Arabidopsis thaliana: one gene and its partners. The protein of the gene in region 1 interacts with the protein of each later gene in a pairwise test. Each region holds a gene or a part of one and is shown in the gene's direction. Other genes may lie near its edges. The genes, in order: SAR1, AT2G23830 and KAT1.

Region 1 (3,755 bases):
ATGTTCCAATGCATCCCCTCAGTTTTGTGTTAAAAACGAGCCATCAATGTTATCATATATGGAAATCATTATTGAGGCTTTGACCAATTAATTATGCGAATTGACCGACTTTGATCACTATACAGAGCAAAACAAATCCACTGAATCATTTATTTGTGTAGGTTCATCTTTTTTGGGCACCGTATTCATTTCTTATTCCATGAATTTGACGGAGTAATTTTGATTTTCTTTTTCGAGTAAGAATCTGGTCAAATATTCGATGAACCTCTACAAAAAAAATTAACCTCTATAAAAGTGTAGATTAACCAAGTGTTTCATCACAAACCATTTCAACGTAAACGAAACAACAACTACTACTCTCAACTTTACACTCTCTTGATAAGTCTCGATGATGAATAACATGAAGCTCTTGATCATCGCTGTGATGATCATCTCGGCAGCTTTGCTTCCAGCGCTTGTGGTCGGATCTCGTCCGGTAAAATGTGACAATTGCATGGACGGTGGAGAAAAAGAAGAGATCATGAAGATGAGTTCAGGTGTAGATGTGAGCCATAGGATACTTCAAGCTAAGAGATTTATAGATTACGAAGCATTGAAGAAAAACTTACCAGCCAAACCAGATGGTAAACCGGATAAACCGGATAACAAATACCGACGTGGTTGCAGTGCCGCTACAGGATGTTACCGCTTTACAAATTAAACATAAACCACCTCTCTCTTCTTCTTCTTCTTCCTTTCGTTGGTGTGTTTTATTTTATTTTTAATTAGTATTTCCAATCACATTTCTTATTATTATATTTTATTGCAATTTGTAAGCCTTTGAGGCATTATCTCCTAGAGAGTTAGAATAAACTTCGTTTAGAAATTGTCATCCTTTTCTCACCAAATGATTGACGAGTGAAAATTGATCTCATCGTAAAGTATTTTTGCGGTCAAGTTCAAACAAATTGATCCCTTCTCTCGCACCATATTCTTGTTTTATTTTATTTAAACGATCGATATATTTCCAAACCATTCCTCCAAAACTATCACACATTCACACCTACCAATTTCAACTTTAAATACAAAATATAGTCTTGTTGTAAATATAAGATACACTTTAGAAGTGTACACGTGAAATTCAGGTATATATATTACAATAGTAAGCAACCTCTAAGTACAATTAAATCAAGAAAAAAATAGATTTGAATTAATAGGAGCGGACATGGGATGCATGTAGAATTGTAGATTATCATTTATTATGGTGACTAGACCATTGAACTTTCCTATAACTTTGAAAATATTCTTATTTAGTCATTTAATTTAGATTACACCAAAACCCCAAATATGCCAAATTTTCTACAAATACCCCAAAAAAGACAATTTATAAAATTATTATCCAACCACATGTAATAATCTTTGATGACTTTTAAGTTTTAAATTTTAATAGTAGATTTAGATAATATAGGAACCAATTATTCAAAGGTCAAAGTTCAAACTAGCTTATCCAAATTCATTTTCGCTGATAAAAATACGTTGAAACTATCAAATAACAAAATACCATTACACCAACATCACCAACTTTTTAAAACCCCACAAGTTGATTATTTGAATTTGCTTTTAGGTCCTCAAGTTCAAGATTGTTTCAATTTGCACAATCTGCATAAATCTTTCTGAAATATAACTTTTTTGCCCTCTAAAACTCAAGGGTTTGATTTTTCTTCTTCAACTACGTTAAGATTTCTCCTACACTTTTCTTTTTCACCGTATTCTCTTTTAGTCCTCGATTCTCTACGCGTTTCAGCGTCAAGTCTTCTAGATCTCTAAAGCCTTCGTGCTCGCCAATATAAATCTCTGAGATCGGTCCCGTAAAATCGGATTCGCGTCGTTTTTGAGTAAAAAAAATGGCGCAACAATCGTTGATCTACAGTTTCGTCGCTCGTGGTACCGTTATCCTCGTTGAGTTCACAGATTTCAAAGGCAATTTCACATCAATCGCTGCTCAGTGCCTTCAGAAGCTTCCTTCTTCTAACAACAAGTTTACCTACAACTGCGATGGTCACACGTTCAATTACCTCGTCGAAAATGGATTCAGTGAGTCAAAATATTGCTCGATCTGTAAGCGTAGCTTGTTTGTGTTTTGATTTATCCATTGTTTGAATTAGATTTTTTGCCTAATTGAGAAATATGAATCGAGTTCTTATGTTTGGTATAGTTTCCAGTAATAATTATGTATTGGCGTTGATAATTAATTGATGTTAGATCTATGGTAATCAGTGATATTTTTGGTGGATCTATCAATGAATATTTGCAATTTTTGTTCTGGATCTATTGATTCTTTGCTTATTTGCGTGTAGCTTTCGATATCATGAAGTTTTTGGCATTAGTGTATTGTGTTCTTTATGTAACTCTGTTTTACTAAACCTAATTGGGTTTTGGGTGATGTTGATGGCGGATATGGTCTCTTTATGATAGTGTTAACTTTCTTATCAGCGATATATTGATGAATCTATTGCTTTATCTCTTAATATAGAGTTTAAAATGGACCGGTTTTGTTTTCGTTTGTGCAGCCTATTGTGTTGTTGCAGTTGATTCTGCTGGGAGGCAGATTCCTATGGCTTTCTTGGAACGAGTTAAGGAGGATTTCAACAAGAGATATGGTGGTGGAAAGGCTGCAACTGCTCAAGCAAACAGCTTGAATAAAGAATTTGGGTATGTGTTTTTTGATCTCTTTGATTGGTATTGAAAAGGGTCTATGATTCATGGGCATAGTTATTGATGGACTTCTTTTTGGCTTCTCTAAAGGTCGAAACTGAAAGAGCATATGCAGTATTGCATGGATCATCCTGATGAGATTAGCAAGCTTGCTAAGGTTAAAGCTCAAGTGTCTGAAGTTAAAGGTGTTATGATGGAAAACATTGAGAAGGTTTGATTCTGACCCTTTTTTCTTTTTATCGATATAGTTTTATGTTGTAAACCTTTTCGAACAGAGTTCAGCTTGTATGACTTTAGTACCAGGATCTTATGATTCGTAAAGCATAAACTGTAGAGAGGAATGTTTTATTCTCGGTTGTGAAGACATATTCTGTTGTTAACTCGTTTATGCATTCGTTTGCAGGTTCTTGACCGTGGTGAGAAGATTGAGCTTTTGGTTGACAAAACAGAAAACCTTCGCTCACAGGTTTGTTTTCTAAATGGTTCAAAGTCAATAGACCCACACAGAGACATGCAAGAGTTTGCAGCTTTCTCTTACTGATTGTTGTTTCTTGGGTTTCTAACTTTAAATTTGAACTCGACTTTATCACAGGCGCAAGATTTTAGAACACAAGGAACTCAAATGAGAAGAAAGATGTGGTTTCAGAACATGAAGATAAAGCTCATTGTCCTTGCAATTATCATTGCCTTGATTCTCATCATCATCCTCTCAATTTGTGGGGGATTCAACTGCGGTAAATAAGTCTGGAACATTTCTTCCCGGCGTTATCGACTGCGCTCTGTGCTTCCCAAGATCTCTGAGAATATCTTCATTCAGTTCGTTGTGCTACCTTTTTGTTTTGTTTTTGTTTTTGTGATTTCTATATTCTCATACTATATGTTTCTTCTTAGATTGTACTTCTTGAAATTTGTTTTGTATAGGCTATATATATTATACATATATGTATGCATGTTCGACAATCTGCAATGTTGCTATTGCTGGTACTGACACTAATTCTTGCAAACCAATATTTGGACGATACTTGTTCTTGGCAATTTACTAATTTCTTTGGTCTGTTGAT
Region 2 (3,755 bases), 3.9 Mb from region 1:
TTGGAATGTATAGTGGATTGTTACGGAAATGAAACATTGTCAAGCTTGGCTGCATCTGTTGACGGATTGTAGAATTCGTTTAGGGGAATGAAATGATTTCAAGTTTATGTGATTAATGGTCTGTGATTACTAAATCCTTGAAGATGTGAAGTTTGTCATGTGTTTTACTTTTTTGTGAATCAAGTGAGTTTTTGTTTGCTGATTTAACGATAGAGTTTGTGTGCTGTATCGTTTGGTAAACCATCTTTTTATATCAAATAGACAACTCCAAGAGCTGGATGGATTAAGAGAGATGTGAAAGATCCAGAATCTATAGCGGATCACATGTATCGGATGGGTCTTATGGCTCTAATTTCTTCAGATATCCCCGGTGTTAACAGAGACAAGTAAGTTTCTTGCTTGCTTCTCTCTTTTCAAGTTTCAACTGCTGTGAAAAAACTCTTCTTATATACATACTTTTCTTTCTATAGATGCATGAAAATGGCGATTGTTCATGATATTGCAGAAGGTTAGTTCTTTCACTTTTAGAGATTTTTAATCATCGATTTTCTTAATCACGAGTTATTTAGTCGAGTTGTTGTTGAGCAGCCATTGTAGGAGACATTACACCTTCTTGTGGGATATCTAAAGAAGAGAAAAACCGAAGAGAAAGCGAAGCACTTGAGCACATGTGCAAACTCTTGGGTGGAGGCGAAAGAGGTCTGTTTCTCTTCTATTGTTGAAATACCTTATGTATCTTCGTTCGACCTTCTTATGCTCATTTGTATAACACTTATCATCACTTCTAAAAATGTATATATCGTAATTGCAGCAAAAGAAATCGCTGAGCTTTGGAGAGAATACGAAGAGAACTCTTCACCTGAAGCCAAAGTTGTTAAAGATTTCGATAAAGTTGAGCTGATACTACAAGCTTTGGAATATGAACAAGGTAATGAATGACCAATAAAAGAAACTCTCTTTCGATAAGAGATTTAGCAGAAACTAATACTCATATTGTTTTTTGTTTGCTATTTAACGCAGATCAAGGGAAAGATCTAGAAGAGTTTTTCCAATCAACAGCAGGTAATTTTTGTTGTATGTCATTATACTCTAAATAGATAATCTGAATATGGTTGAAGGCTTTAAGCTTGTTACTGTTTGATTCAGGGAAGTTCCAGACTAATATAGGCAAGGCTTGGGCGTCGGAGATTGTTTCAAGAAGACGAAAGCAACATTAGTTCTCACTTGACTCTTTCTTTTTGTTTCTTAACGTCTAGCTCAGTGGAGTTCAAATACTCGTACGTTTCAAATTTAATCATCTTAAGGTTTTTCTAATAATCTTCGTAGCTGTCTTTACTTGTTTTGTTACTATCACTAATAAAAGATAGCTAGCTAGTGACTATCTTATAGATAGCTAATGAAGATCAAAAAACTTAATCAAGCTCTTAAATTTTATTTTAAGAAAGTATCATTGGTTCCTCAATATAAATTTTCGGATCGTTAATAGAGGTCAAATGATTTTTCTTTGTTTTGTTTTGTTTCAAGATTTTGCACGGGTTAAAAGTTGAATAAGAATAACGAATAGAGTATAGACACTTCATAAAGTGTAGTTTCCCTGCCACACTTAGATCTCCTACTAACCTCACTTAGATTAGATTTCTCTCTAGTCTAAAAGTCTTTAAACCTTTTACCATTGGGTTTCACAAAATTAACATTAGTAGTTATGTCTTTTCTTTTTAAAAACATATTTTAGAATAAACCATATCTCCAACCGAAAACTCCAAACTCTCTCCGACGCTTATCCGCATAGTTCTTTTGTCGATTTTGAGCTTCTTTTATCTTAACCTTTAAGATTTTGATTTTTTCCGATGTTCATGTTATTAACCACAAGTCTACAATTAAATTATTATATTTTTTTAAAAATGATTCTTGCGCGAGAAGCTACTTAGTGGACTCGGAAGGAGAAGGGAAATTGGTAGAGGTTTTAATTTGCAAAACTTATAATAATATAATAGTAGTAGTCGTAACAAATGGTTTAGCTGATTATTCAACATGGAACTTTTCAAAGAATGTTTCAGTTTTAGTTGAACAGACAATTTTTACCCTTGTCGTAACAAGACAAATAACGATTTTTCCGACTCTCTTCATTCGATCTCTCTCCCTCTCCCTCTCTCGATCGGAAAAGTTTGAATCTCCGGCGATCTTCTCAAGATGAGTAACAACGAGCTTCTCGAAATCGAGCCTATGTATCTTCAATTCCCTTGTAAGTTTTTTTTTTGACTTTTTCTTGTTTTCCCTGATTTTGCATGTCTTTCTTGTCCATAACCAGATTTTGTTGAGTTATGGTTTACTATTAAATTTCGCTATTCACTTGGCTGAGTTGATGTAGTTGAATTGAAGAAGCAGATGTCTTGCTCTCTTTACTTGACGAACAAGACAGACAATAACGTGGCCTTTAAGGTAAAACAAAGTTTTCCGAGTCATTAAATTGTCGTGATTATCTCGTGTTTCTAAGGTTTCTCGTGATTCTCTTTATTTTATTTGAGGTTAAGACGACAAATCGGAACAACTATTGCGTTAGGCCTAATTATGGACTTATTCTTCCAAAGTCGACTTGTAAAGTTCTTGGTCCGTTCTCTAATCGTTTTCTTGGGGAAACTTTTTTTCCCCCTTCAACTGCCAAACTTGTTCTTGGACTAGGAATTTGATGAATCTTTATTTGTTGTTTGTCTAGTGACCATGCAAGCTCAAAAGGAAGTTCCTTCTGATATGCAGAGCTTTGAAAAGTTTATGATTCAAAGTGTACTGGCTAGTCCTGGAGTCACAGCCAAAGAAGTTACTCGTGAGATGGTACTGATTCACATTGTTGATTTGATGAATAATTCACACTTTGGCTTTTGGTTCCTTAAAGCATTTGTTTCGTTTTTTTCTGATGAGCAACTTTGCAGTTTAGCAAAGAATCAGGGCATGTAGTTGAGGAGACTAAACTGAGAGTTACTTATGTTTGCTCCACCACGACCAACATCACTAGTTCACCAAGGACTAGAAGAGGGTTTATATTTCAGTGTTTTTGTTAGACATTTTCTCTTTACTTCATTGACGATATTCATCACCAGTAACACTCTTAGCGATGTCTCTTGCTATGGCGTTTGGAGCTGCTTGCCACGAGCTCGTAATAGCGGCTGGTAAAACTCGATTGATTCTGTACAGTAATTTGTTTGTAAAATAATTATGAGACCCAGTTTACTTTGTATATAATGCACTAAAATCTAAACATCACTGACCATCTATATAATCATATCCTTATAGCTCAAACCTTTGAAATTCAAATAAAATAACACATATCTTAGATAGGCGTGGGCATTCGGGTACCCGTTCGGGTTCGGTTCTTTTTTTCCGGGTATCGGGTCTATTCGGGTAAGAGGTTGAGAACCATTCGGGTATTCTAAAAATTCAGTTCGGTTTCGGTTCGGTTTCGGGTCGGTTCGGTTATTTTAGTAAAAATGTAAAAATAACCAAAAATACCCAAAATATTTTTGGGTTCGGGTTGGATTCGGGTTTTTTACTCATATATACCCAAATCTACCCGAAATACCCGATTGCCCGTAAATATATTTGTTACTTTTTATACAAATATAACCAAATGTAAACAAAATACTTAAATTACCTAAAAGAAAACTATAACATTTGTTACTTTTATCCCAAATATATCCAAATGTATATGAATTACTAAAAGAATCTAGTATAATCGGATTTATAATTTTAATTTTGGGTGT
Region 3 (3,755 bases), on another chromosome or scaffold:
ATTTAAACAGTTAACATGAACAACCCCACTTGCACTAGGAAGACAGCAAATAGCAAACTTAAAGCAGTTTACGATTTCTGGTCTTTTAAGGCAAGGTTTAGTAACCCAGTAATTCCTTTTGATTTGAAATATATGAATAACCGAAATTAAAAAACAAAAAAAAAATCACAAAATACTAAAATTTGAAAGCCGAAATAATTCATTTTTCAATAGTTATAATCATCTTTTAAAAAGTAAGTTAGATCATAAAACCTAATATAAAACTTTTATTGGCAAAACTAATTAATCACGAGAAAATAATATTAAAGTTAGCTCATGTTATGTTTATATTAGGAATCTCTCATTTACTTTATTTTGTTTTGTTTTGTTTCTATAATGATATTAGGATTCAGGAAGACAATAAACAAAATATCAACAAGGAATCATGAAAGATACATTCGAACGGGCTCAGATCGACGCAGAAACAAAAAGCTTTGGAATGATTTAATAATACAAATTTGGCGGAAAGGTTTGAAGAATTTATACTTGGCATTCTATACTAGCGAACGAAAACAAAAGTTTAGTCAAATATTTAGGATTACCAAAAAATCAATATTCGTATACAAATGTGTTTTATTATAAACCATGATTTTTCATAACTTTATTCTTAGTTGTTTCAATTTGTTTTCTCTCATTTCTCGTTCCTATTGTAGAAAAAATTCCTGATTCTTTTTTCTTTTCTTTTGTTTTCCCATGTCAATTATAACCGCATTAGAAAAGGTTAGCACATGTTCATTTGCACAGAATGTAGTCAATGTACAATTCATCTATAATTTATCACCTTTTTGTTAAAAATATTTATAGCCATGTTATATATATTTTATCATGTTGTGTTTTAAACTCTAGATTTGTTCTTTCACAGTTTATGGGATTTATCATTTCATATATTTCCTCCTATGAGTAAGATGTCATTTTTAAATTCTTAATTAAGAATTTAGAAATCAAGTTTATTATTTTGTTAAAATTTATAAATTACGTATTTTTCCTTTATTAGTGAGATTAAGATATAAAGAGTCTAGCACACTAGAGAAATGAAAACATACATATATCTAGAAAGGGTTTATAAGAAATTAGTAAATGGAATCAGAACATGAAGGAGAAGGGAGGGGCCACCATACCGACGGGAATGAGAAGTATGGGACGGACAAGAAATCAAGTGTACACACATGAAAAAACCCACCACGTGAAGATCTCCTATTGGTGTGTCTTCTCCTAAGTACTAAGTATAAACCAAAGTCAAAACACAACAAAGACATATTGCTTGCGAGCCAGCGAGTGTGTCCGAGTGAGAAGAGAGTTTGGGACTTCACTGTTTAGAGAGCCTCATTCGCTACCTAGATTCGGTTTATCCACGTGGAGAGTTCACGTAGCTTCTATAATAATAATACATTATATAAGCTGTTTCGGTAAAATAATCTTAGAGTTTCACTTCCCATGCAAAAAGATTAAATGGACTACTATATTTTCTATATGAGTGTTTTGGAAATAATCTTCCAAGTTTATGGCTATTTAGTAAAACTCAATCCAAAATGAGAACAATAACTTTTTTTTTTTTTTTTTTGCAATGAGTACAATAAACTTATGATTGGTTTTGGGGACTAGAAAATAAAATAGAGACATATACTTTAAGAATAGTTGATGAGAAAATAAAACTTTTTTCGAAGAAAGAAAAAAAAATATACTCTGGCCCCTTACATATTCTGTCAAATGCCATTTTATTTTCTTTATTTTGCTTGGTCCATTTCTGGATTCCTGAAATGAACACACCATAATTTTCATGCCCATTTTTGTCCTCCCATTAACACTTACCAAACACCAAACGTACCTTCCTTCCTTTATATGTGTCTCTATGTCTATATATCACTCCCACCTTCAAATGCTAGGAAAGTGGACATCACACCATAGTCTGATAGTCATGAATCTCATCAAGTAGAAACCTCCAAAGAAACAGATTGCGTTTCCTCTTCTTCTTCCTCCTCTTTCGAATCTTATATTTTCGTGTCAAAAAAGAAACAAAATATGATGATATCTACCGCAAAAGCTCAATGTTTGCCACTTAAATTCTGTCTCATCTCTCAAGATTTTTGATCATCTCACACTTACTCCGTTCCGCATTTTACGCCTTTTCTTCACCATTGTTGCTTCTCGAATCGAAACCATATTGGTTTTGCAGCATTAATGGTGCACTGAGTCTTCTTAAAGCCGTTAACCTTTCCCTGCCAAATTCTCAACCAAAAAGAAAAAAAGATAACAAATGGGTCACAACAAGTTGCCATAAAGGTCCCAACAGAAGAAGAAAAGAGAAGTTTCCCCGTGTTGCTTTGTCACAAGCTTCATCACTATTTATAACTACCTTGCCAAGAAGAAAGCCTAAAAAGGTATAACAGTTTCTTTGTCTTTAGAGATCATCAAAAAGATGTCGATCTCTTGGACTCGAAATTTCTTCGAAAGATTCTGCGTCGAGGAATACAATATAGACACCATAAAACAGAGTAGTTTCCTCTCTGCCGATCTTCTACCATCTCTTGGAGCCAGGATCAACCAATCTACTAAGCTCCGCAAACACATAATCTCTCCTTTTAATCCACGTTACAGGTAATTTTCTCATCTACTAAACTCTGTTTTAAGTACTCTGTTTTCAACTATGTTTTCAACTATTCAGGTTATAAGTAGTTTTAACTACTCTGTTTTTACTCACGTTATAAGTATATTTAAAGACTCTGTTTTCAATCCTCTGTTTGTTGAAACAGAGCGTGGGAGATGTGGCTAGTATTACTAGTTATTTACTCAGCTTGGATTTGCCCATTTCAATTTGCTTTCATCACCTATAAAAAAGACGCGATTTTCATCATCGACAACATTGTTAATGGCTTCTTCGCCATTGATATTATTCTCACCTTCTTCGTCGCTTATCTCGATAGCCACTCCTATCTTCTAGTTGACAGTCCTAAGAAAATAGCAATAAGGTGAGAAACCTTTTTTCTTAACTTGAAACCTTTTATAAGTGAATGAGAATCTCAAAGTATGTTTTGAAATTGTAACATTTTCAGGTACCTTTCGACGTGGTTCGCTTTCGATGTTTGTTCCACAGCACCATTTCAGCCACTAAGCCTCTTGTTTAACTACAACGGAAGCGAACTAGGATTCAGAATTCTTAGCATGCTCAGGTTATGGCGTCTCCGGCGAGTTAGCTCGCTATTTGCAAGGTTTGCTTCTATGCTAACTAAGAGACCATACTCTTCTTAGGGTTTAACTAAGAAAGTGCTTACTCAAGTCTAACTAACTCTTACCTTTGCTTCAGGCTTGAGAAAGATATCCGTTTCAACTATTTCTGGATACGTTGCACAAAACTCATTTCGGTTAGTTCCAAAACAGAGCAAAACTAATCTCACTTATAATAAAGCATTTTAAGCTTAGGGCTGTCCATTTAGGTGATCTATTCTTAGGGTTTATTTGTCTTTTAAATGGACACCATATTAAAGCTAGTGACTTACACGTGCTTGTTGATCTCAGGTCACTTTGTTCGCTATACATTGTGCTGGATGTTTCAACTACCTGATTGCAGATAGATATCCTAATCCAAGAAAGACATGGATTGGAGCTGTGTATCCAAATTTCAAAGAAGCAAGTCTATGGAATAGATATGTGACTGCTCTTTACTGGTCCATTACGACATTAACGACCACGGGATATGGAGATTTTCATGCTGAGAACCC

What was found.
Region 2: the proteins of SAR1 (region 1) and AT2G23830 interact in a two-hybrid assay, tested with the Arabidopsis thaliana proteins (one study listed by BioGRID).
Region 3: the proteins of SAR1 (region 1) and KAT1 interact in a two-hybrid assay, tested with the Arabidopsis thaliana proteins (one study listed by BioGRID).

Annotation. Positions count from the first base shown.
Region 1 is NC_003071.7:14,043,466-14,047,220, reverse strand, and holds the start of SAR1 (synaptobrevin-related protein 1), read left to right. Parts: upstream 1-1,677; 5' UTR 1,678-1,883; coding exon 1,884-2,097; intron 2,098-2,549; coding exon 2,550-2,691; intron 2,692-2,784; coding exon 2,785-2,905; intron 2,906-3,097; coding exon 3,098-3,160; intron 3,161-3,286; coding exon 3,287-3,436; 3' UTR 3,437-3,755. Other genes in the region: RALFL18 (ralf-like 18), read left to right, coding at 389-700. UniProt on the Arabidopsis thaliana protein: Involved in the targeting and/or fusion of transport vesicles to their target membrane.
Region 2 is NC_003071.7:10,141,456-10,145,210, forward strand, and holds AT2G23830 (PapD-like superfamily protein), read left to right. Parts: upstream 1-2,012; 5' UTR 2,013-2,190; coding exon 2,191-2,242; intron 2,243-2,368; coding exon 2,369-2,439; intron 2,440-2,525; coding exon 2,526-2,607; intron 2,608-2,713; coding exon 2,714-2,829; intron 2,830-2,927; coding exon 2,928-3,056; 3' UTR 3,057-3,259; downstream 3,260-3,755. Other genes in the region: AT2G23820 (Metal-dependent phosphohydrolase), read left to right, coding at 262-386, 471-508, 589-699, 812-928, 1,021-1,062, 1,147-1,217. UniProt on the Arabidopsis thaliana protein: May play a role in vesicle trafficking.
Region 3 is NC_003076.8:18,745,262-18,749,016, reverse strand, and holds the start of KAT1 (1), read left to right. Parts: upstream 1-1,610; 5' UTR 1,611-2,455; coding exon 2,456-2,634; intron 2,635-2,789; coding exon 2,790-3,005; intron 3,006-3,089; coding exon 3,090-3,245; intron 3,246-3,340; coding exon 3,341-3,398; intron 3,399-3,552; coding exon 3,553-3,755. UniProt on the Arabidopsis thaliana protein: Highly selective inward-rectifying potassium channel. This voltage-gated channel could mediate long-term potassium influx into guard cells leading to stomatal opening.